5 linked regions of the Macaca fascicularis genome follow. The protein of the gene in region 1 interacts with the protein of each later gene in a biochemical or structural test. Links are inferred from orthologs where the notes say so. Each region holds a gene or a part of one and is shown on either strand. Other genes may lie near its edges.

The links.
Region 2: of the proteins of ARF1 (region 1) and AGAP1, one has a biochemical effect on the other in vitro, tested with the Homo sapiens proteins (2 studies listed by BioGRID, with this or other methods). The link is inferred for Macaca fascicularis from reciprocal best matches to the Homo sapiens genes ARF1 and AGAP1.
Region 3: the proteins of ARF1 (region 1) and ARFGAP1 form a complex in vitro, tested with the Homo sapiens proteins (2 studies listed by BioGRID, with this or other methods). The link is inferred for Macaca fascicularis from reciprocal best matches to the Homo sapiens genes ARF1 and ARFGAP1.
Region 4: the proteins of ARF1 (region 1) and CYTH2 are reported together in a solved structure, tested with the Homo sapiens proteins (3 studies listed by BioGRID and IntAct, with this or other methods). The link is inferred for Macaca fascicularis from reciprocal best matches to the Homo sapiens genes ARF1 and CYTH2.
Region 5: the proteins of ARF1 (region 1) and PLD2 form a complex in vitro, tested with the Homo sapiens proteins (2 studies listed by BioGRID). The link is inferred for Macaca fascicularis from reciprocal best matches to the Homo sapiens genes ARF1 and PLD2.

Annotation. Positions count from the first base shown.
Region 1 is NC_088375.1:85,991,323-85,996,980, reverse strand, and holds the start of ARF1 (ADP-ribosylation factor 1), read right to left. Parts: upstream 3,989-5,658; 5' UTR 3,241-3,988; coding exon 3,179-3,240; intron 1-3,178. UniProt on the Homo sapiens protein: Small GTPase involved in protein trafficking between different compartments. Modulates vesicle budding and uncoating within the Golgi complex. In its GTP-bound form, triggers the recruitment of coatomer proteins to the Golgi membrane.
Region 2 is NC_088386.1:131,580,351-131,586,212, forward strand, and holds the start of AGAP1 (arf-GAP with GTPase, ANK repeat and PH domain-containing protein 1), read left to right. Parts: upstream 1-1,861; 5' UTR 1,862-1,963; coding exon 1,964-2,921; intron 2,922-5,862. UniProt on the Homo sapiens protein: GTPase-activating protein for ARF1 and, to a lesser extent, ARF5. Directly and specifically regulates the adapter protein 3 (AP-3)-dependent trafficking of proteins in the endosomal-lysosomal system.
Region 3 is NC_088384.1:119,392,872-119,398,055, forward strand, and holds part of ARFGAP1 (ADP-ribosylation factor GTPase-activating protein 1), read left to right. Parts: intron 1-281; coding exon 282-368; intron 369-945; coding exon 946-1,042; intron 1,043-3,430; coding exon 3,431-3,487; intron 3,488-5,033; coding exon 5,034-5,066; intron 5,067-5,184. UniProt on the Homo sapiens protein: GTPase-activating protein (GAP) for the ADP ribosylation factor 1 (ARF1). Involved in membrane trafficking and /or vesicle transport.
Region 4 is NC_088393.1:56,460,897-56,466,815, forward strand, and holds the start of CYTH2 (cytohesin-2), read left to right. Parts: upstream 1-1,901; 5' UTR 1,902-2,067; coding exon 2,068-2,152; intron 2,153-2,457; coding exon 2,458-2,605; intron 2,606-2,707; coding exon 2,708-2,774; intron 2,775-4,755; coding exon 4,756-4,874; intron 4,875-5,730; coding exon 5,731-5,811; intron 5,812-5,919. UniProt on the Homo sapiens protein: Acts as a guanine-nucleotide exchange factor (GEF). Promotes guanine-nucleotide exchange on ARF1, ARF3 and ARF6. Activates ARF factors through replacement of GDP with GTP.
Region 5 is NC_088390.1:4,911,859-4,917,042, forward strand, and holds part of PLD2 (phospholipase D2), read left to right. Parts: intron 1-19; coding exon 20-85; intron 86-216; coding exon 217-275; intron 276-414; coding exon 415-507; intron 508-600; coding exon 601-753; intron 754-1,533; coding exon 1,534-1,683; intron 1,684-4,885; coding exon 4,886-4,969; intron 4,970-5,111; coding exon 5,112-5,184.

The sequences.
Region 1 (5,658 bases):
ACATGAGCAGGGGTTTCTCCACACATGCCAAGTAAGCAACCAGTTCTGCGTTCTGCAGCAGACACCGGATAGGTGTCCTTTAATTCAGTTCAATCCTGACACTGTCCACCTGGAGGCAATCACAAGCTCCAGGTTATTTTACCTGTGCTTCTGGACAACCATCTATAAATCAGGGTTCCCATAACTCCTTCCCCTTGGGTTCAATTAATTTGCTAGAGTGGCTCACAGAACTCAGAAAAACACTAAAGTTTACTGGTTTTTCATAAAGGATATTACAAAGGATACAGATGGAGAGATGCATAGGGTGGGGTATGAGGGAAGAGACACGGAGCTACCTTGCCCTCCTGGGCGTGCCACCCTCCAGGAACCTCCATGAATTCAGCTTTCTGGAAGCTCTCTGAAAGCCCAGGCAGGCCTTTTGGGTATTTCCCATCAACAAGGAATTTCATGCTATTTCAGAATTGTACTTAAGTGTGGTTCAGTCTGAACATTCCTTTGTACAAATGTGGAAACACGGGGCTGTAGATGCTGTTAACTACTGAAGGCAAAAGTGTGGCTTCATGATATTAGTGTGATTGATTAAATTATTGGCTACTGGTGACCAGCTCAATCTTCAGTCCCTCTCCACTCTGGGGAAATTGGAGGGTGGGGCTGAAACCCTCTAATCCTACCTTGGCCCCGTGACTAGCCCTACCCTGAAGTTTCGTAGGGGCTGCCCGTCACTGGTCAACTCATTAGGGTACAAAAAGACATCATCACTTTGGAGATTCCAAGTATTTTAGTAGTTGTATGGCAGGAAATGGGAGGCAGGCCAGATATGTATTTTGCAATCCACAACTACAGACTTCTAACTTCCTGAAATGTTCATGGACTGAATCAAGTCTCCCGTTCACTTCATGCTGTACACTAACAGTGAGCCCTGGGCCTCCGGGGTGTGGGAGAACGTCTGCCTTCTAAACAGAATCATTCCCAATTGCTGTGCCTGTGAAAATCTGCCTTTTATGCTTTCCCTGTCTCTTCTCTTGATGTCATTTAGGCTTTTCCTGTTATCAGGGCCTGTAAGAAGCACCACCTTTCCCAGTCTGTTGGCTGACAACCGGCTGCAAGCCCTTGTTACCACTGTGTGAGAACCAGGAAACCAGGATTAGTCAAGGACATTATGGCTAATCAGCCAGCCTTACTGTCTTCTCATCCCTGTAGATGGTTGAGTGACAGGACCCTGGGGGAGGACCTGAGAGCCTCTTGGGAACAAAAAACATCCAGGACATGTCTGTCAAGTTGCTAACAAGGTCATCTGACCCACCTGAGAATGTGAAACTACCTTCCAAGACGGTGCTGGGCACCTGCACAGCTGTAAGGTGATAAGTGCAACTATGCCTTAAAGAGTTTATAACAACCACAGGAAAATACGAACCTGAGGATGAGGGCAAATCCTGGAATCCCAACATGAAGGGGCTAAACCTTTTCCAAAAGACCACTTCAGATGCTACAGGCAGGATACCCCTACCAACCAACCACACCAATGAGGAGCAGGCACAACACAGAAAACACAAGTTCTCATAATTTAAGATCCCCACTGCAAGGCCTTTTCCTGTTTCTCTCCCAATTACCTCTGACAGTGCACTCTACTTCCTTTCACCCTCTTGAGTTTACCGAGGTGAAAGGTCAGGGGGAGAGGACAGAATGCCTATGAGAGACAGTATGGGCCTGCCAGCCCAGGCTGGCTGCAGCCTCTTGCTCAAGAGAATGGTCACAGCTCAGGAAGAAGTGTGTACAAAAGCTTGGTGAGCATGGCCTGTGAGTAAGAGCTGGTTTAAATACACCAATGAGACATTTAATTTGAAGAATCTAGAAAAAACTGCTTCAACTCTCTGAAACCACAGTCATATACTTTGCGTGTGAACTTGCACAACAGGTTTTTTTCTCTTAGTTAGGTCTACTTCTATGATCACTGCAGCAGCTGACAGTCCATATTAAATTTTACTGAAGTGAAAAATGAAAGGCCAAATGCATCTTCGAAGCTATGGTTTCAAGCCTGTCCAGTCTGTAGGGGCAGATGAGCAGGTGAAGATGTCTGAATGTCCTCTCCATATTGTGCAAGAGGTACAGCGCATAGCTAGACTACATGATGTACAAAATCAGAACTGTGAGGGGCACAGAACCAGTTTTTGCTTTTCACTCACAGTCATTCTGTGACTCAGCTGTTGTCCAAACCAACTGTTTCAAATCTTTTTCAACTAGCAAATCTGAAAAACTGCCTGACAGGCAACAGCATATTCCTACTGCTGCAATGATTTGGATTTATTTTCAACAAGATACACCTAAAGACAAGTGACAGATATTCTCCGGTCTACCAACATGTGAAAACGTGGACAACACACCTCTAACAATGTGGCCAATCAGATGTGTATACTAACATTTATACTACTCAATTCTTCTCAATTTTGGACCCAGCTAATAGTACGGCATTTCAGGACCTTATGGTTCTGGCTACCTTGGTAGTGCTGGTGAAAATTCAAATTAAATGAGGACATCATCCATGCAGTCACACGTGTTAGACAATGGCTAACGCAAAAGCAGAGGGCCACAGGGGCCGCACACAACCGCACCTCGGCATCTCACACTCCTCCCAACACACTGCGGAAAACGACAGAACCACCAGCCTTGCAACAACCGGCGGCAGAGAAAACTGCTGACCACTAGTTCTGAAACAAGAAATACAACTGCCCACTCCAATAGGGGCAGTGGCACCAACTCTACAGCTCTAAACTAGGCGGCGACTTCGGGGACCATCCAAAGACTCCGACCTCCCTTCTTTTTCTGCCCGCGATTCCGAGCGCATTTCTGCTCAATTCCTGCAAAGCAGCAACTGGCTGCCTGGACGGAAAGGGAGTCCGCCAGGAGGTGCCGTCGGAATGGTTATCTAACACTCTAGGTGCGCACGGCTGTCCAGACCCAATCTCACAAGCCGTAACCACCCAGGCTGTGCCCCGAGAGAGCGCTGGGGCCGGCCTCTGCGGCCTAGAGTCTACGAGCAGGTCGTTCCGCAGGCAAGTTAAAGATTCACCAGCTCAAAAGAGGCCTTCTTATCTACTGCCGACAACGTCAAGGAAACCACCCTGGAGTTAAAGCGAACATCGACCGGCCCTCTGGAAGCCACCGGAGACTTCATACTGACCCCAAATCGCGTCTCACTGTTGTGAAGGGAGGCACTCTGGGCTTCCCCGGAGGTCCACGCATTCCGTTCAGCAGACAGGGAAAGGCGCAGGGTCCCTGTCCACTGCCCGCCCGCTCGCTCTCACCGCCCCTGACCCAGTGCCTTCCTCAGAGGAAACACGAACTGGATGGAGTCGGGAGGCGAAGGTGCAAGCCCCCACCACCTACGTGACCTTGACGGTGTCTTGGGGCCGCCTGAGCCTCAGTTTCCCGGTCCCCGAGGCAGCGGTCCGCCCGGATGCCGCTCGCTAGCCTGTACTCGGGTGGAGGAGGCCCCACAACCCCCACCGGCCCCCGAGACCGCTAACCCCAACTCTCCACGCGCGGGCGGCCTCGGGAAACGTGAGGGGCAGAGGTAAGGGAAGCAGGAAGCCCAGGTTTCCTGGAGAAGAGCCTGGCGTCCCGGCTGACTTCCGGGCGACGGGCGGGGGCAGGGACTGGCAGAGGAGGACAAGGGGCCGCGGGCGACTCCGGGAACCTGTGAGGGGCGCGAGGAGCTCACCGACCCGCCCGCCCTCCCAGCCCCGACTCCCCAGCCTCAGCCCGGCCCGTCCTCGTCCGCCCCCGGCCCGGCCCTGTCGCCGCCGCCGCCGCCGGGATCGAGGTGCCCTTCGCGAACCTCAAGTCGCCCCGAGGCCAGTCCCCAGACCCCGCCGGCTCCAACTTGTGTGCGGCCCACACCGACCCGCGCCCCTCGCCCTCACCTCAGAAGCTGCTGCTTCGAGCCAGGCGTTGGTTTCGCTCCCACAAGATGGCGGCTCTGACGGCGGCCACGTCAGCGCCTGCGGGCGCGGGGAACGTCGGGTAAGAGGCGGAGACGCCGGGAGCTCCGCCCCCCGTGCGCCCGCGACGCAGACGCGCTGGCTCCAGAAGGGCTGCAGGGGGCGGGGCCGGGGACACCCAGCCCCGGGCCGAGGTCCTAGCTCGCGCGCGCCTTAGGGGTGCGCACCCGTCTGCGCCTGCGCCTGTGAGTCTTCCGAAAAGACACCTTGTGGCTGCCACACGCCCGTTTGGCAGATTCGGAGACTGAGGCCCGGGGGGCTGCTGCAGCAACTGGAGCGGCGGGGCCGGGTTGCCACCCTCCTCCTCCCCGACCCGGCAGTCACCGCGAGCCCTCGGGGACCGCGTGAGGACTGGGGTGCGAGGCGCCCCTTCGCTGGGATTGGGGTCCCTGGCTCCCAGGCTGCGCGGGTCCGTGTGCCCCGGCCCTGTGGAAACCTGTGGCACTCGCGGGGCCTCGGCGGAAGGTCCGAAGGAGGGAGGCCTGCTATGTCCCCGCACTGGCCTCGGCGCCCCGGCGGCCGCAGTGACTCGCGCGGGCTCATGCCTGGGCTCATGCCGGGGAGTTGGCTACAGATGAAGCAAAGGAGGAGGTGGCCTGGGGACCCCGGGGGGAGGCCGGGGCTGTGGGGGTGGTGCCCAGAAGGGAGGTCACAGCGGTCTCTAATGAGCTGGCCTTTCAGCTGAGATCCAGTTGAGGCGGAGGAGACCCCGCTCCCAGGAAGCCCTCCTGGATTGGTCAGAAGGGAACAGAGGCCTGGCTCTGCCCACCACCCTCAGGTCTTCTTGCCTCTTCCCTTGTGCAGCTGTGAGGGATTGGGCTTGTGGGAGAGCGTCCGTGCAGCACAGTTCTCTGGGTATTCTGGAGGTCGGGAATCAACCTGATTTGTCCAGGGGGAGGCCCGGGGGCAGGGCCTGAGGGGTGGGGTCACTGGGCCTGGCCCAGGCCTCCTGCGCCCCTTTGCTGCCGCCATCACCTACCTTGCTTGCCCCTTGGGCAGGGCATCCTCACTGCCACTGCAGGCTGCGATAGTCGGAGTTCTCCCCCAGGGCTGCACCTGCGGGGGCTTCGAAGGACCCCAGAAGTGGTGACCCTCCTGCCCCCAAATTCAGTCCCTTTTTCTGCCTGGGGCTCCCCTCTGAAATCTCACCTCTGTGAAGCTGCGGCAGGTTGTCTGTTTAGGGGAAGGATGTCTCCCTCCCACCCTACAGGCATCTCAGATACTCTTGGAAAGCCCCAGGGAGGGGTGTGGATGCCTGTGGAGCCTTCTGATTGTGCTGCCTCTCCCGCTCAGCCAGAACTGGGCCATGCTCGGACATTTCATGGGCGATACATGTGGTTATGGCCACTTTAGGGCTGAAGGGACCTGGCTTTGGTTCTCTGATGGCAGAGCATGGCCAGGGGTGGCTCCAGTGTCACTGAGTGGGGATTGTGTGGGAACCAGAGCCTGCTTCCCCTTCCTTTAAAATACTCTATTTTTTTTTTTCTTTTTTTGAGATGGAATCTTGCTCTGTCGCCCATACTGGAGTGCAGTGACACAATCTTGGCTCACTGCAATCTCCGCCTCCTGGGTTCAAGCAATTCTGCTGCCTCAGCCTCCCAAGTAGCTGGGATTGCAGGCGCCTGCCCCTACGCCCAACTAATTTTTGTATTTTTAGTGG
Region 2 (5,862 bases), on another chromosome or scaffold:
TGTATTTTAAAGTATCCTTTCAAGAAAAATAAAGTGAATCACCTAGCACTCTGATATATTTCATTAAATCTGAATATTAAATTTCAAACTGTCATAAAATCCAGATTTCCTAGGCTATAACTTCTATAACTTCCTTCAAAAGAGAGCTTGCCCAATTCATTTTTATGCCACTTCCAGTGCCGTGAACACAATAGGTACCCCCACAATAAGATTAAAGTAGGGAAAGTTGGCACCTGACAATCCCTGCCTGCAAATAGCATATCCCAAAGTAATGCTTCCCCCTGGCCTGGCCACCAGCACCTTGCCCAGAAACAGCCTGTAGCAAGCTGTAGCATTTCTAGGTCTGGAGAAGGTCGTGTAAGCATGTAGTGTGATCAGGGGACATTGTATTTTTCCTTCTGAAACTTTTTCATCAAGGAAACTCTGAAACAATACATCTGTGTTTAAGACAGCGTGAGGAACTGATAAGTTGATCACCTATGTCTAAATATTGTGTGGCCTGGGATAATATCCAAGACCAGTATCTGTCAGCCCACCAGGTAGGAAGTGGGGGATTTGATGGAAGAGACGTTCAGTTTTCAGTATTAATGGTGAATATTTAGCATGTACACAGAATGCCTGGTACATAGGATTTTAATCAATTTAATCTTCACAAGAATGCTCAAAGTTTAGGAGCTTTTATCGGCGCTCCTATTTTACAGGTGGAAAAGCAGGTGGTTTGTCAGTGGATAAGCCTGGCTTGCGGGCAGGCACGTCTGTCTTCTTGCTCTTAACCACAGTATTTTCCTAGGAGTCTGTCGTCATGGGGAGTAAGTGCTTACCTGTGAGGAATCTTTCCCCAGACATTGGTAAAATAACCCTACGAGATTGTTTTAGAAGCTTTGCACAGAGTATGGATGATATGGTATGGTAGTGTATGGTACCATAGAAGTTTATCTGGGGTGAGATTATTGCTAATTGAAAATGAAAACAAGACAGAATTATGTTAGGAGGCAGATTGTGGCCCTTCATTGGCAGGGCATTGGTGTAAACAGCACCCTCCCCTCACAGTCACATCTCTTTGTTCTTGTCTTCCTGGAAGCCCACTTGTTCCTAGGTGAGGTTGGGGGTAACAGGTACCAAAGATACTTGGTTTTTTAAACGAGTCACATGAGTTGCATCTTCGAGGCTGCATGGTTAGGAAAGATGCCTCATATAAACGCGCAGCAGGTGAGATATGCCCCTAGTTTTGTTTTTGCAGGCCAAGCCCCAAAGTGTGCGTGGTTTTAGGGTGCAGGCTGGTGCTAGGCTAGGCCCCCCGAGGCTCCGGTCCGCGCTGCGCCGATCCATCCCGGCGCTTGGGCCTGCACGCCGCCGCGCTCGCCGCCGCCGCCACCGCGCTCCCGGGACTCCGCCAGCCCGGCTGGGCGCGCGGCCCGCGGTCCCTGCACGCCGGCCCCCGCCGCCCGCCCCGCCCCGGCGCGCGTTTCCATTTTAAACCGCCACCCGCCGCCCGCCGCCCGCCACCCGCCACCCTTCGGTCGCAGCCGGCGCAGCTGTCCGCGCGTCCCGGAGCCCAGGGAGTGGCGGAGGCTGCGGAACCGCCGAGCTGTGCTGCCGGGGCGGGAGGATGCGCACGGGCCCCGCGTCGTAGACAATGAAGCCGCGGGCGCCGCCGCCCGCCCTGGGCCCTGCGCACCGCGGCCGCACCTGCCGGCGAGAGCGCTCTCGCGCCTGACCGGCCGCCTCGCCTGGCCCTGCCGGCCCATGGCTCGGCGCCCCGGGCCCGGACCCCGGCACTCGGGCGGCGCGGCGTACGGGCCGGCGGGTGCCAGGGGCGCCTTCCCCGCAGCCTGAGTGCGGCCCTCGCGGCGAGCGGGGGGCGTGGGCCACACTCCCGGACCGCCTGCCCTCCTCGCCTGACCCGGCGCCCTCCCAGCCCGCGGGCTCGCTGGATGCGGCGGGGCCCCAGTGCGCGGGCGACATGTACTTGTTGGACGGCAGCGGCGAGCCCGCGTCGCCACCCGCGGACGCGATGCCGCGCGGGACGCCTCCCAGAAAGACCGTCTACCGCATCTCCGTGACCATGGTCAGGAAAGAGCAGCTGGCCGCGCCGGGCTCTGGCGGCCCGGACCCGCGCCCCGCTCGGTGGCCCCGGCCCGCGCGCTCCCCGGACGCGCCCGGGCGGCTAGAGGAGGAAGCCGAGGAGGCGGAGGGTGTGGAGGAACCGGAGGGTCGCCGGCCGCGCGCATGGGATTTCCGCACCTTCCGCACCCGCAGCACCGGGCAGCTGGAGCTGGGGCGGCTCCGGCCGTGCGCACGCGGCCTGGAACCCGCGGACCTGGCCAGCAGCGGGCGGGCGGAGGAGGAGGGACGAGGCTCGCCCGCGCCCGGCAGCCCCGACGTGGAGGGGGCCCGGGCCGCGCCCCTGCGGCGGAGCTTGAGCTTCAGGCACTGGAGCGGGCCTGAGGCGCCGCAGGGCCGGACACTGGGCGGCGGGAGGCGCCACAGCAGCTCCGGGAGCCTGGCCTGGGCGCCGGATGACGAGGCCGCAGCCGGGGCCACCCTGGAGCCCGCGGCCGCCACGCAGCCCTCCTCGGAGAAGCGCAACACCCTGGACGTGGGCGAGGTGCTCAGCAAGAACGACACGCTATCGGACCTGGAGCGTTGGGAGCGCAGTAAGAGCAAGAACCGCACGCTAGACAACAGCGACCTGCAGCGGCTGGAGCGCGCGCGGGCGGCGGCCGGGGCCGGCGCGGCCTCGGAACACCGGCTGCTGCGCTTCTTCAGCGGCATCTTCGCGCGCAGGGATGGGGGCCCGGGCGGCGGGCCCTCCCCACGGAGCGGAGCCTCGCGGCCGCGCGGCTACTTCAGCCTGCGGCGGCCGCCAGTCGAAGCGCACTCGTCCAGCGGCGAGAGCATCGACGGCTCCCCGCGCAGAGGTGGGCAGCGTGGCCGGGGGTCCCGGGACGGGAAGGGGCGTGGTGGGGACTTGCTGGCTCCACAGTGGCCATGGAACCCGCCCTCCCGGGTCGGTAGCCGGCACGTGGCCTGGAGAGAAGTGAACTGGGGTACTGCGGTTTTCCCCAGCAGGGCGCAGCGGTCCTGCGTTTTCTGGCTGCCCCTGCGCCTGGCTGTGCGTGCCAGTTTCCCTCGGGGTCCACCACCTTCATCAAGGAGAGCTTGACCCGGGACAGGTCGCCTTGCCAGGCGGCGCCGACCTCCCTCGCGTTCTGGCTGGGCCTTCTGCGGGAGCGGGCCCTGAACTGGCTGCCCGTGACACCTGTGAGGCCGCCCCAGGGAGCCGAGGCTCGCCGGTCGCCCCCGCACAGGTGCCGCTGCCTGGGTGGGAAAAGCCGGCATTCATCCTGGCCCCCCTCCCTGCCTGCAGTCGTCTCCCTGTTGGTGCTACCATCTGTGAATGCTGTGGTGGGGCCTCAGATGACTCCGTGGCCCTCGGTATTGAGCTGGCTGTGAGGACACTTCACTACAGTGGTGAGGCGCAGGGCGGGACGGAGGCCTGTCTCCGCAGCTTTCCTGCCAGGTGGCATCTTAACGTGGAGAGCGAGTCTGGGACCGGATCTGTTTCCTCGTAATGTAGGCTAGCAAAGGGGCAGGAAAACTGCAGCCCTGCAGCCTGTTCTGAAACCTCAGGTGTCTGTTCCCTTGTGTCCTCTGACAGGGACTTTGCAGGGAGGGATCTCCAGCCAGATATGGTATTCCACTGCAGGAATCAGTTAACCTTTTGGTAGGTAGCATTTGGGGGTCAGAGCCTCCAGAAACTTCCCTTCGTGTATTCTCTTAAAATATTAGAAAGTAATGCGTGTTATTTTGTTAAAAGAATTGGTTTGCACGAAGTTGCTCCTGTCATCATTGGCGTTCAGAGGAAGTTAAGACCTGAAGGTCCCAGTTCTCTGATAGCAGGCTTGCATCTTTGTTCTGTGGACTTTGAAGAAAACAGTAATTAGCTGCATTGGTTCCAGACGAGTTTGTATCAGAGCGAGAAAGAGAAAGGCACAGACATGATTTAGAGAGGATGCGTTTCGTTGTGGTCCCTCTTGATACAAGTTAAAAGCATTTGGGGTTTGGGTAGTTCCTCTCTGGTCAAATGGATTGATAGTAGATTTGGAGTAGTAAGGGGGTGACGTGTGTTGGAATGTTTATAGTAATGCTCAGTTTGTTCTTTGTGGTCAGTCCTTCTCTGGGTGGAATTACTTTGGTCTGAGACATAATATTAGTAGCATTGTGAGTTGTATAGAAAAATGGAAATTTAATGAACTACATTACAGCACATATGGTCAGAACTCTAGGGCCTCACTTTTTTCTGAAGTTCTAAGTAATCGCGTACTCAAAAAAGCTACATGTTTCACCTGGATAAATTCTTTGCCTTTGGCTAAAATGTCTGAAATATCAATATTCTTAGGATTTTGGTGATACCAGTGTCTATTACAGGTAAAAGTTATAGTCCCCACAGGTATCACAACCTCTCATTTTATTACACTTCTCCAGTCTTTACATGTTTGCTTCCTGTGACATAAATTATTCAGAATTTAGGTGCTGTATAAGATTTTGAATTTAGATGAGAGTCTGTAAGGTAAGAGTCAGATGCAATAGAGCCCAAGCTTGGTTTCCCTGTAAATGTCCATAGGATGCAAGTCCCCAAACCACTGGGGACAGGTGAGTTTGTAGAACTCGGAAATTTTGGATCTGAGGAAGGTAAAATGGTGTGTGTTGTAGAACACTGCCTGTGAGGTCGGGTGGCGCCCTGTAATAACATACTAGTATTTTGCAGCAAAGCCTGAGATATCCACACTCAGTGAAATAAATAGTGATTAAAAATAGCCTCATGCCAGTTAGGTTAGAGTCTGGTTTTGCCACCAAAATAATTTGCCAACCATTTATGAAAAGAAGTTCCTTCCATTCTCAGACCTTTTTGGATTTTAGATTGACAGCTAAACTGTCGTAGATCTGCAACATGATAAGCATCATGAGAAGCACCACTGGCTTTCTCTGCATCTTGGCCATAATGTTTAAAATTTAGAGTCCTTGAAAATATAAAGGAAATTAAAAATGACATCAGCTTGTGCAGGTTTTCCTTCTGTTAGAATCTTTCCATCTTCTTTAAAACAGCTAAGTAAATTTTTGAATTGGCTACAGGAAACTAAAGACTAAGTAATTATTGCATTAAATAGTCTATTTGGCTTCCCAGCGTTAAATGCTTAGGCAAGGTATTTCCATTAGCACAGGGAAGCAAGATGGCTGGAATCTTATTTTAAAGCACACACGGGCTCCTACATATGTGTGCCTTTGGTTTGCCTGTATTCTGAACTCAAGGCGTTAAGGATGAAAGGATTGGAACACCTACCTTTTGTAGGATGATTCTCTTGTACTCTCTGATCCTTGTTGGAACTTGTCTATTTAGGCTCTTCCCAGTTCTTCCCCCTAATGCAGAACAGTTGCCTCCCTGAGTTCAGGGCTGCTCCCTCTATGTAAGGCTTGCAGCTGATGGCAGCCAGCCAGCAGACATTCCAGAAAGACCCTGTGTCACATCGAGGGCAGTTTCGTGTTACCTGATACACATGTATTGAGGCAGAGTCCGTTGACTCAAGTATAATTTAATGCAAGGAAAGATCAAATAATAAATGATTAATGACACTGTAGGGTGTCCCCTTGCAGCGCATGCTCTGCATCGCAGTGGATGCTCTCCGGGCCGGCCCTGGAACCAGCTGTGCTGGGAGTGAAGTCCACACTGACTATGCCCATCCAGAGCATTCAGTGTCTTTAGGGTGTTCTCTAGCTGTCTGGGAGGATTGATTACAGTAATAAAGTGATTCATTGATACTCTTACTGAGGTTAGCTTTTAAAATTAGTAATTTACAACTA
Region 3 (5,184 bases), on another chromosome or scaffold:
CTCGGTCCTCTTGCCCCACCTCTCGCCTCTGCCTCCTGCTGACGGGGAGAGTGCAGAGCCCACTGCAGAGGCCTCTCGTGGTGCCCATGAGGCTGGCATTGCTGGGTTTCAGCACCTGAGCCTGAACATCCGCTCAGAGCTGAAGGCCACCCTGGCCTCAGGTGCTCTCGGGTGACGTGAAGGCGCTGCCCACATAGGCCACATGGTTCTGGGGGTGCTGCTGGGGTTCCCTCAGACTTCACCCAGTTTTGACCTCACCAGCCTTTGATTCTTGGTTTCAGAGCCTCTGGCCAGCTGCAGAGTGTGACCGCCTCCTCGGACAAGGCTTTCGAAGACTGGCTGAATGATGACCTCGGCTCCTATCAAGGGTAAAGACTTGAGAGCTGGGGATGCCTGGGGAAGGCCAGACCCACGGGGTTCAGTCTGCTGGGTAGGGCTGCTTCCCTCGGGGCCTCCCGTGTGCAGTGGGTGTGGGACCCGTACGTGCCGGTGCAGGGTCTGACTGCAGTGAGCCCCGGCTGCCCACCCGGGTGTGGATTGGGGGTCTTGGGTGTAGAGAAGAGCTAACACTTAGAAGAAAAGCATAACACATTTTCTGCTTGGAATTTGCTGGACCTATACGTGAATTTTTATCCCCAAAGCTGTCATATTAAGTTGTTTTGATCCTTCTTCCAGTACTTCTATGACTGGGTTTGGGGACTTGCTGGGGACCCTCTCTGGTGATGTGGCAGGAGGGTCTTTTTAAATGAGCAGGAAGCACGTCTGTCTGCTGCTGGGGAGCTGCCAAGGCTCCTGCTGCTACGGGAGGCAGCGTGCATGTCCTGTGCTGGGGGACGCTGGCACATCCCTCAGAGCCTCAGCCTCACCTCTGTTCAGGGCCCCACACCTTCAGGAGGAGCAGGGTTCACGCCAGCATCTTCAGCCTCTTGTCCGCTTTGTTTTCAGAGCCCAGGGGAATCGCTACGTGGGGTTTGGGAACACGCCACCGCCTCAGAAGAAAGAAGATGACTTCCTCAACAACGCCATGTCCTCCCTGTACTCGGTGAGGACTTGTGGGCCCTGCAGAGCATCTCCCATGGGCAGACCCGGACTGAGGGCACGCCGGGCTGTCGGGGGCAGTGTGGCAGTCCTGGAACACGTGCTCTTGGCCTTGCTGTGATCTAAGGACCCCTCCCTTACCTTCAGTGACGTTTTCTTGCAAAAATGTGGCTTAAATTTTTCAGATCCCAAATTCAGTCACTTCTTTTTTTTTAAAAGACGGAGTCTTGCTTTGTTGCCCAGGCTGCAGACTGGAGTGCGGTGGCGCATTCTGGCTCACTGCAACCTCTGCCTCCCAGGTTCAAGTGATTCTCCTGCCTCAGCCTCCTGAGTAGCTGGGATTATAGGCACCCACTATCACGTCCAGCTAATTTTTGTATTTTTAGTAGAGATGGGGTTTCACCAGGTTGGCCAGGTTGGTTTCAAATTCCTGACTTCTGATGATCTGTCCACCTCAGCCTCCCAAGGTGCTGGGATGACAGGAGTGAGCCACCGCACCCAACCAACACTTACTTACTTCTGACACAAAATGTGTGTATTTCAAATCTAACAGCGGACGTTCTTCCAAGGAACCCAAGGGCTCTGACGGCAGCCACTTGGCCGTGTTCTCTGCAGAGGGAGTGCTGTGTGCAGTGGGAAGCTGGCTCTGTGCTTGGGGGTCTGGCCGTGCTGGGAAGCCGCTCGGGCGCTACCCGAGGTCACTCAGGGCCACCTCTGGTCTGGGGGTGCCTGGAAGCTCCAGGTCAGATGTTCAGAGTAGGACACCCTGGGCTTGTTGCCATTTTCCTATTAACGGAAATACATGTTGTTTGATTTTCATTTTCCAAGGAAATTTTTACCTTCTTTAAAATGATTAAAAATGATTAAAATGATTAAAAAATGATTCTTGCAGGTGTGATGGCTCACGCCTGTAATCCCAGTACTTTGAGAGGTGGAGGCGGGCGGATCACCTGAGGTCAGGAGTTCGAGACCAGCCTGGCCAACATGGCGAAACCCCGTCTCTATTAAAAAATATAAAAATTAGCCAGGCAGGGTGGTATGTGCCTTGTAGCCCCAGCTACTAAGGAAGCTGAGGCAGGAGAATTGCTTGAACCTGGCAGGCAGAGGTTGCAGTGAGCCTAGATAGCACCATTGCACTCCAGCCTGGGCGACAGAGTACGACTCCGTGTCAAAAAAAAAGAAAGATTTTTATTCATCGCAGCATTATTGTCTGTGACACTAGCAACCTGAGACTCTGGCCACAGGGGCCGCGTGAATGGGAGCTTGCGCGGAGAGCCAAGGAAGGACTTGTTTATTTATTTATTTATTTATTTTGAGACGGGTCTTGCTCTGTTGCCAGGGCTGGAGTGCAGTGGCATATTTATAGCTCACTGCAGCCTTGAACCCTGGGTTCAAGCGATCCTTCCACCTGGGCCTCTTGAGTTGCTTAGCTTCCCAAAGTTCCAGTATTACAGGAACGAGCCACCATGCCTGGCCAGAAAGGATTTTTTAATACTAACATGACAAGATCTTCAAAGTATGTTAGCTAAAAATAAGCAGGTTTAAAACGGATGGCTTCATCTGCAAGGAGCCCTGCCATAGAGTCTTGGGAGCCCCCAGGTGTGTGTGGCTTCCAGTTGCTCGGGATGGCCTGGCTGCACCTCGGGCCACTGACGGCCATGGTTGCTTTCTCTTGCAGTCATTGCTGCGTCGTTAGGAAAGAAAAGTGCATTTTCCAGCCTGTGTGTGGCCCTTTTGCTGCCTTTTGCTGGGCATCTGCTTTCTGGGGAAGGCAGTTCAGCTTAGTGATCTCTCAAGTGAGGGTCCCTTTGTGTTTCCTTTAGGAGGAAGAGGATGAGTTGTGATTGAAATGAGACATTTATTTTTCTAAATAGCTTTAATTATCTCGGGAGACCCAGGAGGAAACCCTGAGCATAGATGAAGGAGAGCAGGTTACGGCGGTCATGACCCCACACGCCTCACCTTTTTCTGTTCCTCTGGGGAGGCAGGAGGAAGCGCCAGCCGTGGGGAGGAGAGCAGGTTAGAGCAGGTTACAGCAGTTGTGACCCCACATGCCTCACCTCTGCCTGTTCCTCTAGGGAGGCAGGAGGGAGCGCTGGCCCTGGGGAGGGGTCCTGCCCTGCAGTGTGGGCTTGCTGCTTGAGGGTGGTGGGATCCACAGGAGGCTGGATTGCACCGTGTTGGGAGCACTGCAGTTGGCGAGGTTGGGGTAGAGGGCGCGTGTCCGTTGTGCCCTGGGTCCATTTGTATTGCTCCAGCAGCCTGGCGAAGCAGGCGCTGTGGGGTCAGGACAGGGCAGGGGCCTGGTCCTCGTCCTTGCTGAGATGCTCTGCTCAGCGCCGGGTTCCTGGGTCCCAGTCCTGATGCAGCTGCTCTTTGTCGCCTTCCTCAGGGCTGGAGCAGCTTCACCACTGGAGCCAGCCGGTTTGCCTCAGCAGCCAAGGAGGGCGTAAGTCACTGTCCCCACCAGGCCCTCAGGACACCGGCCGCTTGCTGGTCTGTGGGGGCCGCTGCCTCTCAGAGCGTAGGAGGGGGCTGTTCCCGCCACGTTGCTCCCCTCCTCATGCCAGGGTGGCTGCCTCATGTACCCGCTCAGGGCCTGCGGGGCCAAACTCGTTTCCTGTTCACTGGTAACTGGTGCAGGTGTGCAGCCACTGCGCTGGCCACCTCGTTCTGGGAGCTGCAGAAGGGATGTGGGACACAGAGGGTTTCTGGGTGCTCCAACCATGGGCTGTGCCAACGCAGTACCAGCCAGGGTGGTCCCAAGGCCTTGGAGGTTCTGCAGGAACACAGCAGCCCAGGCTGTCAGGAGCCGCTCCTGTGTCAGACCAGCTGCTGGCAAAGGGGTCCCGCCCTGATGAAAGTGAGGGAGATGTGAGCCCCATTGATTCCTAGACTCCACCCTAACCAAGCAGGGCAGGTCTCGGGTGCCCTGTGCCCTAGAGCTTCTGGGGCTCAGGTCGTGTTTTGGTAGCATTTTCTCTCTTTCGCCGCTTCTCAACCTGAAACGGGAGGATTTGGGGCTTTCATCAGGGCAGACAGTGGAGCATTAGGCAGAGACCCAAGAGCAGGCCTGGCATCAGGATGGGGTGTGGGCCCCCGGGGGCTGGGCTGTGGTGTGAAAGGAGAAGGGGAAGCCCAGAGCAGGGCAGCTGGGTGCCTGCAGCTGCCCAGACAAGCAGCCAAGGCACCCAGTTTAGGGCTCTTATGAGCAGAAGTCACGGTGCGCGCCTGTCAGATGTCCCCATGGTCACCCTGGCCCCGTGGCTTCCCCAGTCACAGTGCGCACCTGTCAGAGGTCCCCGTGGTCACTCTGGCCCCGTGTCTTCCCTGGGAGAGGCAGGCCTGGGAGCACCCTGGAAGGGGCAGCAGGCCAGGTGTCCAGGCTCCAGCTCTCATGGCCCCGTGACTTTGCCAAGTGTGAGGTTCTGGTTCCCGCCAGGGCCTCCGTTTTGTGTCACCACGGGAGGGCTGCGGCCTGGGGAGGCCCAGGTACCTTCCAGCCAGTGTCACGGCTGGGCCTTTTCTCCTCCCCCAGAGCGTAAAAGTGACCGAGGTGGCTGGACTGTGCTTGGCATGGAGCTGCCCCCGCAGCGGGGTAGATGAGCCTGGGGCAGTGGCACCACCCATTGAAGACAGTGCTGGTGTGGCTTCCCCAGCCTGTCCTCTGCTCCAGCAGGTCCCCGCCCTGTCCTGAAGTCTGGAGGATGGGGTTGGCCCTGCTGTTCCCTGGCCTCGCACACTGCTCACATGTGCCCTCGCCCCAATAGCTTGCTGGGCTGGCCTCCCTCCAGGGAGAAGCCAGCATTTGTGCTAATCCAGGCCCCACTGCAGCTCTTCTGGGCATCTCAGAGTTATAGTCCCCCCACCTGAGAGCTGCTGGCAGCCCAGGGGCCATTGGGAGACAGTCCTGGACCTGAGTCTGTGGGCCCTGAGGAAGGAGGCCTGGCAGTCCGTGTTAAAGACCGTCAAGCCTTGTCTGTTTTTCATTGTAGGCTACAAAGTTTGGATCCCAAGCAAGTCAGAAGGTAACAGAGGAGAAGCTTCTGAACTATCCTGAGTCTCTGACGTCACGTGCAGCGCCTGAAGCTGCCTGGTTCCCTCTTCTCAGGCCACACGCTCAGAGCGCAGGAGGGGCTGTGCCCA
Region 4 (5,919 bases), on another chromosome or scaffold:
GTGGGCGCCCGTAATCCCAGCTACTTGGGAGGCTGAGGCAGGAGAATCGCTTGAACCTTTGGGGGAGGAGGTTGCAGTGGGCTGAGATCATGCCAGATCACTCCAGGCTGGGCAAAAGAGCAAAATTCAGTCTCAAAAAAAAAAAAAAAAAAAAAAAAAAAAAAAAAAAAAAGAAGGGCCATAGTATGAGAGGACAAGGGGGGACGTGAGGGGAGCCAGGGAGGAAGAAAAGGCTTCTGAGATGGGAGAAGGAATCAGAGGTGGGAGGACGCTGAGGAAAGGGGAGTTGTCTTAGCGGGAGGATGCTTGGGGAAGGGAGGAGTCTTAGGAGGATGCTAAGCTAAGGGGAGAAGTTTGGAGAAATGAGGGAGGAGTCTGAGCGGCAGAAGGTACCAGGAAGGCTGAGCCTGTGCTTTCACGAAATTTGATCTTCCCCTCTTCCATTCTCCATGACCGATACCAGATAGCATAGCATTTAGAAAAAAGAGTAAATCTTGGCCAGGCGCGAAGGCTCACGCCTGTAATCCCAACACTTTGGGAGGTCAAGGTGGGTGAATCACTTTAGGTTAGGAGTTTGAAACCAGCCTGGCCAACATGGTGAAACCCCGTCTCCATTAAAAATACAAAAATTAGCTGGGCGTGATGGTGCATGCCTGTAATCCCAGCTACTCGGGAGGTTGAGGCAGGAGAATCGCTTGAACCCGGAGGCGGAGGTTGCAGTGAACCGAGATCGCGCAACTGCACTCCAGCTTGGGCGGCAGAGCAAGACTCTGTCTCAAAAAAAAAGAAAAAGAAAAAACCTTCCGAAGAAGTCTTTCGTTTCACCACTCCACGACTCCGAAGAGGCTGAGGGGGATGGGGAGGGCATAGATGGTCGTAAGGAAAGGGTTTGGAGGTAAGAAGGGACTGAGAGGGGAAATACACGGAGAAGAAAAGCAAATAAAAAGGAGGCCGAAGGCTGCTCCCGGTTGCATGGCAACCTCTGCAGTCAGAAGCCAGCATGGCCTGCTAGGAGGTGTGGCTTACGGAAACAAGCCAGTTCTAGCCCCGCCTCCTGGCAACAAGATTAACCAAGTACCGCCCCCTAGCAACGGATTATTGGAGGCGGGGTTCGGTTTACTTAGTCTCCAAGTGTCCAGGGCCTTTGAGCAGGCGCAGAGATGTCTGTACCGCGTAGGTCCGCCTCCGCGCAACACCTTTCTGGGGCTTCCCATTGGAGAGCAAGCCTGTCAAGTGCTTTCTGTTGTTTCGGAGGCGGGGCCTGCTGCCCTGCCTGCACTCCGATTGGCCCCGCGGGCCGTCTACCTCTGGCCGGACATACCGACATCAGCTTTTTGTACGACTGTTGGCCCTGGAAGACGATCCTTTGGTGGCGAGGGCGGGGAGGACTAAAGCGCCCACTGTGGATTGGACGGTGTCAAAAAGAGGGGCGGTCCCTACTGAAGGGGCGGTTGGGCGACCAAGGGAGAGTCTTTTCAGCGCTGAGGTCTGGCGCTGAGGAGGCGGCGGTGGCTCCCGGGGCGTTTGAGCGGGCTCACCCGAGCCCGCGGGCCAACGCGGATCCAGGCCCGACCGGCGGGACCGCCCCGGACTCCCCGCGGGCCTTCCTAGCCGCCATGGAGGACGGCGTCTATGGTAGGTCGGGGAGGGGCGGGGTCGGCTGGGAGCTGCTGGAGCGTTTTCTCCTGAACGTTCCGCCGCGAACGTTTCCCCCTGGAGCGCGCAGCCCAGAAGCTTTCGGCCCAGTAGTAGACTTGTCGCGCCGCTTTTGTGGGGCGCTGGACGGGCTTCCGGCGGGGCCCGAAAGCGGGGCGTTCCAGGCCATTGTTTGGGCTGATCCTGTTTCCGGTGGCGGCGGGAGGGGCGGGATGGAGCGGTGGAGGCGAGGCCGGGGCGGAACCATTCCCGCTGGAGGGGCGGGCAAGCCCAGCGTCTGCCGGGGCCGGGGAGGGGCGCTCGGGTTGCGGGGAGGGGAGAAATCTTGGGGGGCGGGGGCCTTCGATGTCCCGCCCCGTCTTCCCAACTCTCCCGAGCTGTCATCAGCTCCCGCGGCCGTAGTGACTGTTCATGGACCCAGGAGTCCGGATAACCAGGTCCCCAGCTACCTCGCCAGTAATGGAGTCAGAAAACCAAGGCCTCAGTCCCCTTCCAAGTAATGGACCTAGAAGCTCAGGCCCCCAACCCTTTCTTCCCTCACACCTAAGAGCTCAGGCACCTATTCCCCTTCTCCTTCAGACTCTGGAATCCGGGCCCCAAGTCCCCTCCTCCCCCCAGGACTCAAGAGTTTAGAGCCCCGGCCCTTCTCTGCACGGAGGAATCCAGGCCCCCAGCGCAGTCTTCTGTGCAGACATGGAAGGCCCTTATGCATCCTCTCCCAGCTCTGTCCGCCCCCAGATTGCAGGAATTCAGGCTCATGGTCCCCAGCACTGACTTTTAAACCGTGACCCCGACCCCTAGAACCCCCAGACCTGACTCCAGAGGAGCGGATGGAGCTGGAGAACATCCGGCGGCGGAAGCAGGAGCTGCTGGTGGAGATTCAGCGCCTGCGGGAGGAGCTCAGTGAAGCCATGAGCGAGGTGGAGGGGCTGGAGGCCAATGAGGGCAGGTGAGGGCTGGGGCGGGTGACCTGGGGGGCGTGGGGTTGACTGAGGCCAGGAATGCCCAGGCATTGACCCCCCATCCCCCACCCTGCTCTCTGCTCCTGCAGTAAGACCTTGCAGCGGAACCGGAAGATGGCAATGGGCAGGAAGAAGTTCAACATGGACCCCAAGAAGGTGCTTGGGGCCACAGGACTGGGATCCGCTGGGCAAACATCCGGGCAGGGGCTTCTGGCACCTCCGGGTTCCAGAAGCGTGATGGTTCCGGGTCTATTCTAGGTGGACAGACTTGGTCCTAATCCCTGGATTCAGATACTGGCTGTCCATTTGTTCTCTGAACACTGACCAAGTGTTCCAGGCCTCCTGACGCTTATGTTTCGTCCCCTGCCCTGAAGGTTGTCTTCCACTTTCTACTTGTATGGGCGCACTTCTAGTGCCAAGATGAGCTCGAGTCTTGTAGGGCTGTAGACAAAGTGATATGCACAAAGGAGAGTTGACCTCCCTCCTGCAAAGGTGCCATGACAGAGGGAGGTATCAGGGTAGTAGATTTCTGGAGGAGGCAGGCTGGTGGAGTCAGGGAGGGCTTCCTTGAGGAGGAGACATTCAGGTCGGGTTTGAAGGATGAGTAGGTGTTCACTAGGTGGAGGAATGGCTTTTGTTCACTTACTTTTTTTTTTTTTTTTTTTGTGAGACAGAGTCTTGCTCTGTCACCCAGACTGGAGTGCAGTGATGTGATCTCGGCTCACTGTAACCTCCCCATCCCATGTTCAAGCGATTCTCCTGCCTCAGCCTCCCAAGTAGCTGGGCTTACAGACTCCCGCCACCATGCCCAACTAATTTATGTATTTTTAGTAAAGATGGGGTTTCACCATGTTGGCCAGGCTGATTTCAAACTCCTGACCTCAGATGATCTGCCCACCTCAGCCTCCCAAAGTGCTGGGATTACAGGCATGAGCCACCATGTCCGGCCTGTTCACATACTCATTTAACACCCGTTCTTTTTTTTTTTTTTTTTTTGAGACAGAGTCTCACTCTGTCGCCCAGGCTGAAGTGCCATGGAGCAATCTCAGCTCACTGCAAGCTCTGCCTTTTGGGTTCACGCCATTCTCCTGCCTCAGCCTCCTGAGTAGCTGGGACTATAGGTGCCCGCCGCCACGCCTGCCTAATTTTTTGTATTTTTTTTTAGTAGAGACGGGGTTTCACCGAGTTAACCAGGATGGTCTCGATCTCCTGACCTCGTAATCCGCCCGCCTTGGCCTCCCAAAGTGCTGGGATTACAGGCGTGAGCCACCGTGCCCAGCCTTTAACACCCATTTTCTGAGGCCTCTTGAGAGCCTGATCCTGTGTAGGGCAATGCTGGGGACCCAAAGAAGAATTAGATGCTGCCCTGTGCTCAGCCCCTGGACATGGATACCCCAATTCAGAGTGAGATATGGCAGCAGTAGAGAGGGCTTCATAGCACAGAGAGCGAGAGAAGCCTCCAGTCTAGCAAAGGCTTGGAGTTCACAGCCCTTGAGGGACTGCGTCTGCTCAAGGTTGTCACGTTATTCTTTCCTGAAGCAGTTGGAATTCTGTTCAGTCATTCAAAACACATTTATTGGCTGGGTTCCGTGGCTTATGCCTGTAATCCCAGTGCTTTGACAGGCCTAGGCAGGAGGATTGCTTGAAGGCAGGAATTTGAGACCAGCGTGGGCAGCATAGTGATAACTCATCTCTAGAAAAAATAAAAATAAATAAATTATCCAGGTGTATTGGTACATGCCTATAGTCCCAGCTTCTCAGGAGGCCGAAGGGAGAGGATCCCTTGAGCCCAGCGGTTCGAAGCTGCAGTGAGCTGTGATCACGCCACTGCACTCCAACCTGTGCAGTAGAGCGAGACCAGGTCTCAGAAAGAAAAGAACATGTACTGAGCACCTGCTCCTTGCCAGACCCTGTTGTTGGTGCTGGAATTAACCAGGCAAAGGCAGAGAGGGTAGGCCATGAGGTGCAAAGGCCATGAGTTGGGAAGAATCCTATTTAAGACCCTTGAGAAGGCTGAAAGTGAAACCTGGCCCTGGTCTGTTGAGGGTGGGGGTAGGTCTGGATGCTGAGGTTCCCAGGGAGGTGAGGGGGGTGGCTTTCTGGCTCTCAGCACTGAGACCTTGTCCCCACTCACCAGGGGATCCAGTTCTTGGTGGAGAACGAACTGCTGCAGAACACACCCGAGGAGATTGCCCGCTTCCTGTACAAGGGCGAGGGGCTGAACAAGACAGCCATCGGGGACTACCTGGGGGAGAGGTACGGCCACCACCACTCAGCTCCTGTGGGGCCCGCCCCTCCCGCTACCTGCGCCCAGCTCCTGCCCTCACACCGGCAGCTCGCAGGTGGAACAGCCCTGCAGCCTCCCCACAGAGAGGCCCTGGCAGATGCGTCTTCTGACTGGACTGTGACAGAATGGACGGACACGGGCTAGGGGAGCCTGCGGCCACCCGAGAGCATCTGGGGATGCGGGGCCTTCTGGAATTACCTGGGGGTTGTGGGGAAGCATCCATTTATATCTGAGAAGGGTGGAGAGCATCTCTCAAGGGTCATGGGAGCATGAGAACAGGGGTAGACCATGGCTGTGCATGGGCACTGGGTTGCCATCTGGGAGCTGTGGGGACCATTGGGCCCTTGTGGGGAGCCTAGGAGTTGTGGGGGTCATTTGGAAGCCTAGAATGCATGGGACTGGACATCAGATGGTTGGAGGCCATCTGTAGACGTCTGGGAATCAGGGATTTACAGAGATCTGGGGTGCGTGGGAAGCATCTCTGGATGTCTGGGGGAGATGGGGACTGTGTCTGGATACCTGGGGAGCGTGGGGATCGTTTGAGAGAGGTGACAGTAGGTAGCATACGTGTTTGCGGCATTTCTCCCAACTGTACAAAGGTCCGGCTGAACCTGGGTTCCCAAGCCATATATTCCTCCCAAGAGTGTGTTCTGAGCATCCCCCACCGTGGGGGCAGGCCTGTGTGGGAGCCCAGCAGGAAACTTCACCCTCCGCAGAGGGCAGCTGTGGTGCAGTAGAAGGGGCACGACTTCCCCAGGGCCTTGCCTCCTGCCCACTCCTGCTCCATCCTCTCCAAACTGCATTGACTTTGTCCTGTCCTTCCAGGGAAGAGCTGAACCTGGCGGTGCTCCATGCTTTTGTGGATCTGCATGAGTTCACCGACCTCAATCTGGTGCAGGCCCTCAGGTGAGTGACCGGGAGGGGTTTGGAAGGCCAGGAATGTACCTGTCAGGGCCTTCCTAGTTACAAGTGACAAACCTTAGGAAAAAAACAGAAACAAGCAAAACAGAAACA
Region 5 (5,184 bases), on another chromosome or scaffold:
TCTCTCATCTCCACTTTAGAAATACCTGGAGAATTACCTCAACCGCCTCTTGACCATGTCTTTCTATCGCAACTACCATGCCTTGGTAAGGTCCAGGAGCTGATTTTAGATGTGGAGCAGGATCATCAGACCCTCAGGGGGAGGAGGGCCAGGGGCCCCAGGGTCTGAGGAGCTGAAAGCCAGGTATCTCCTCTGGCCTTTTGTTTTCCTCTGCAGACAGAATTCCTGGAAGTCAGTCAGCTGTCCTTTATCCCAGACCTGGGCTGCAAAGGGCTGTGAGTGTCTGGCCCCCTTCACCCAGGCATCTGTAGACATCCCTCTTAATTTCTCCCTGCCTGAGAATGGGGCAAGCAGTGCAGGGTGGGCTGGGGGTCTGGAGTCCTCATCCAGCCTCTCTTCCTGATTGCCCCACAGGGAGGGGACGATCCGGAAGCGCTCAGGTGGCCACCGCGTTCCTGGCCTCACCTGCTGTGGCCGAGACCAAGTTTGTTATCGCTGGTCCAAGAGGTAAGGGCTATGGCCCAGCAGCTGGGCAGTGGGTGGGGGTGAGGAATAAAATTTCGAGGGCAGAGAGGAACACAGGGAGCCCTTCTGCTCTAGGTGGCTGGTGGTGAAGGACTCCTTCCTGCTGTACATGTGCCTCGAGACGGGTGCCATCTCATTTGTTCAGCTCTTTGACCCCGGCTTTGAGGTGCAGGTGGGGAAAAGGAGCACGGAGGCACGGTACGGAGTGCGGATCGACACCTCCCACAGGTGAGGCCTCCCTGGGGTGAGAGACACCGGCTGAGTGGTGAGCCAGCCTGCAGCCCTGCTGGGGGTTGAGTAAGAGAGACCACAGTAGAGAGGAAGGCTGTTCCACCTCCCGGGATCCGGACATAGTTTTGAACCAGGGAACTGGTCTAGCCAGATGCTTGGGACTGCTCTTAGAGACTGGGCCCAGAGAAAGGGGATTAGTAGAAGCCCAGGAAAGGAACTGCTGACATAAAGGAAATTCCATTTGTTCATTTGTTCATTCAACAAACCTGAGTGCCTGGTACAATACTGGTTGCTGATACAATACTAGGCTCCAACTGTGAGTAAGGTGGATACGGCCAGGCATGGTTTCTCATGCCTGTAATCCCAGCACTTCGGGAGGCCGAGGCGGGCGGATCACCTGAGGTCAGGAGTTCGAGATCAGCCTGACCAACATGGTAAAACCCTGTCTCTACTAAAAATGCAAAAATTAGCCAGGCGTGGTGGTGCTGGCCTGTAATCCCAGCTATTGGGGAGCCTGAGGCAGGAGAATCGCTTGAAGCCAGGGTGCAGAGGTTGCAGTAAGCAGAGATCGCACCACTGCATTCCAACCTGGGGGACAAGAGCTAAACTCTGTCTCAAAAATAAATAAACAAATAAGGCAGATACATACACGCCCTGTCTCTGTGGAGTTGTGATTAGGGACCAAGGGAGGAAGTGAGAAAGAAAGGGGAGGTCTCTGGGCAAGATCATATGTATGGAGGGCGAGGATTTATGGTCCATCTCATCGTTCCCATCCAGGTCCTTGATTCTCAAGTGCAGCAGCTACCGGCAGGCACGGTGGTGGGCCCAAGAGATCACTGAGCTGGCACGGGGCCCAGGCAGAGACTTCCTACACCTGCACCAGCATGACAGCTACGCCCCATCCCGGCCTGGGACCTTGGCCCGGTGGTGAGACACTGACATCCCTTCTGTGGCCTTCTTGACCCCCTGTCTCTGAGTCCTTCACCCTCTCTTTTATCTCCTCTGAACCCTTCTGACCTCAGCGATCCACCCTGTGACTTCCTTAATCTTCTTTTTTTTTTTTTTTTTTTTTTTTGAGACGGAGTCTCGCTCTGTTGCCCAGTCTGGAGTGCAATGGCCGGATCTCAGCTCACTGCAAGCCCCGCCTCCCGGGTTCACGCCATTCTCCTGCCTCAGCCTCCCGAGTAGCTGGGAGTACAGGCGCCCGCCACCTCGCCCGGCTAGTTTTTTTTGTATTTTAGTAGAGACGGGGTTTCACCGTGTTAGCCAGGATGGTCTCGATCTCCTGAACTCGTGATCCGCCCGTCTCGGCCTCCCAAAGTGCTGGGATTACAGGCTTGAGCCACCGCGCCCGGCCCTTAATCTTCTTGATCTTTGATATCTTTAACCACATTGATCTCTCTGATTTCGCTCTGACCTTTCTGACCCTCAGACTTGGTCATCTCTTCTGACCCTTGACGTCTGTAACCTCCTGTAACTTTTTAAACCCCCCTGTACCATACTGACCCTCTCTGTTCTCTATGATCTTCTCAAATCTGATTTAGTCCTTCATTTAACAAACATTTTCCTTTTTTTTTTTTTTTTTTTTTTTTTTGAGAGTTTTGCTCTATTGATCTCAGCTCACCGCGCCCGGCTATAAACTTCTTTTTTTTTTTTTGAGACGGAGTGTCGCTCTGTCGCCCGGGCTGGAGTGCAGTGGCCAGATCTCAGCTCACTGCAAGCTCCGCCTCCCGGGTTCACGCCATTCTTCTGCCTCAGCCTCCCAAGTAGCTGGGACTACAGGCGCCCGCCAACTCACCCGGCTAGTTTTTTGTATTTTTTAGTAGAGACGGGGTTTCACCGTGTTAGCCAGGCTGGTCTCGAGCTCCTGACCTTGTGATCCACCTGCCTTGGCCTCCCAAAGTGCTGGGATTACAGGCGTGAGCCGCCGCGCCCGGCTATAAACTTCTAAAACAGCCAAAACCGATCCACAGCGATGGAAATCAGATCAGCAGTTGCCTGTGGCAGGGTACGGGGCAAAGATTGTCTGGGCAATCAAACGGGGCACACGAGGGAACATTCCAGGACGATGAAAATGTCCTATATTTTGATAGGACTGGTGATTGCATGGGAACAGCGTACACTTGCTGATCCTCATGCAACTATACGAGATAAAGAAAATGCAGAACAGTCCAGGCAGAGAAGACAGAAATAGCTCAGGGCGTTTGGGAACCACCAGGACATATTGTTGTTACTGAGTGAGGAGGAGCAGTCAGAGGAGAGGCTGGGAGTCAGTGGCAGCTGATCTCACAGGCTCCCGTGTGCTAATATCACAGGCACAGGGCAGTCATGGACGGAGGTTGTTTTTGTTTGTTTGGTTGGGTTTTTTTTTTTTTTTTTTGAGACGGAGTCTCGCTCTGTCGCCCAGGCTGGAGTGCAGTGGCCGGATCTCAGCTCACTGCAAGCTCCGCCTCCCGGGTTCACGCCGTTCTCCTGCCTCAGCCTCCCGAGTAGCTGGGACTACAGGTGCCCGTCACAGCGCCTGGCTAGTTTTTTGTATTTTTTAGTAGAGACAGGGTTTCACCGTGTTAGCCAGGATGGTCTCGATCTCCTGACCTCGTGATCCGCCCGTCTCGGCCTCCCAAAGTGCTGGGATTACAGGCTTGAGCCACCGCGCCCGGCCTTTTTTTTTTTTTTTTTTTGAGATGGAGTCTGGCTCTGTCGCCCAGGCTGGAGTGCAGTGGCATGATACCGGCTTACTGCAGTCTCTGCCCCCCGGGTTCAAGCGATTCTCCTGCCTCCAGCCTCCTGAATAGCTGGGATTACGGGCATGCACCACCATGCTCAGTTAATTTTCGTATTTTTAGTACAGATGGGATTTCACCATGTTGGCCAGGCTGGTCATGAACTCCTGACCTTAAGTGATCCACCCGCTTTGGCCTCCCAAAGTGCTGGGATTACAGGCATGAGCCACCTCGCCTGGCCTTCCTACATATTTTCACATGTGCAGGCATGTGTTACTTTTGTTTCAACATAAATGAGATCATGCACCCTCTTCTGTGACTTATTTTTTCACTTAATACATGTGTGAGAGATTAGATACTTAGATTATTTCCCATTTTTCATTCTTACACACAATGCGATGAACATGATCTTTGCCTAAGCATTGTGTAGGTTGTATTCCTAGATGTAAAATTACTGTGCATATTTAATGATATTAAAGGCTATGTGCATTTAATATTTTGATAACTGCTGGCCAGTCGCTGTGGCTCATGCCTGTAATCCCAGCACTTTGGGAGGCCGAGGCGGGTAGATCACTGGGGTCAGGAGTTCAAGACCAGCCTGGCCAACATGGCAAAAACCGTCTCTACTAAAAATACAAAAATCAGCCAGGCATGGTGGCGGGTACCTGTAATTTCAGTTACTTGGGAGGCTGAGACAGGAAAATTACTTGAACCCAAGAGGCGGAGGTTGCAGTGAGCCAAGATCGTGCCATTGCACTCCAGCCTGGGTGACAGAACCGGACACCATCTCAAAAAAGCTATATATATATATTTTTTTTTTTCTTTTTTGATACTGCCAAATTGTCTCCTAAAAGTTATATTCCCGTAGTCTATGAGAATACCCACTTCCCCAGCATACTGAATATTCCCCAGCATATTGAATAACATTCTGATATGCTAATATGCTGATATTGAATGTTACTAATGATTTTAATTATTACCCATCTAATGGATATTTTCAATGTAATTTCATTTTAACTTCTTCGTTTACTAGTGAAACAGAACATCATTTGCCACAACTGGCCATTTTAATTTCTCTGTGAACTGTCAGTTCTTACGATTTGCTCATTTTTCCGTTGGCTCATGTGACTTTTTCTTGTCGACTTATTGGTGTTCTTTATGTATGATGTAGTAATCCCCCCATTCTTTAGTTGATTAGGTTATTGTGTCTTTTTGTAATTTTTATTTGTATTTAGCGTATATGGGCAAACACTATTTTGATATGTCTGATACCGCTTGTGCTCTCTGATCATTCCTGATCTTTGACCTTGCTGTCACCTCTGACCCATGACTGTCCTCCGGTCTTCACTCTCCAGAGCTTTCTGGCTTCTGACTCCCCTGACCTCCTTGGCTTGGCCTCCCCCCAGGTTTGTGAATGGGGCAGGTTACTTTGCTGCTGTGGCAGATGCCATCCTTCGAGCTCAAGAGGAGATTTTCATCACAGACTGGTGGTGAGTGGGAAAGGCCCCAATAAGATGGGGCAGGATAGAGCCTGGGGCAGGTCAGCGTGTTCCTCGGAGGAAGGGGGAGAAGGGGGGTACGGCTGGTAGTCTGGGGCTTTGTTTGCCCCTAATCCACTGCCCTGAATCCCAGGTTGAGTCCTGAGGTTTACCTGAAGCGTCCGGCCCATTCAGATGACTGGAGACTGGACATTATGCTCAAGAGG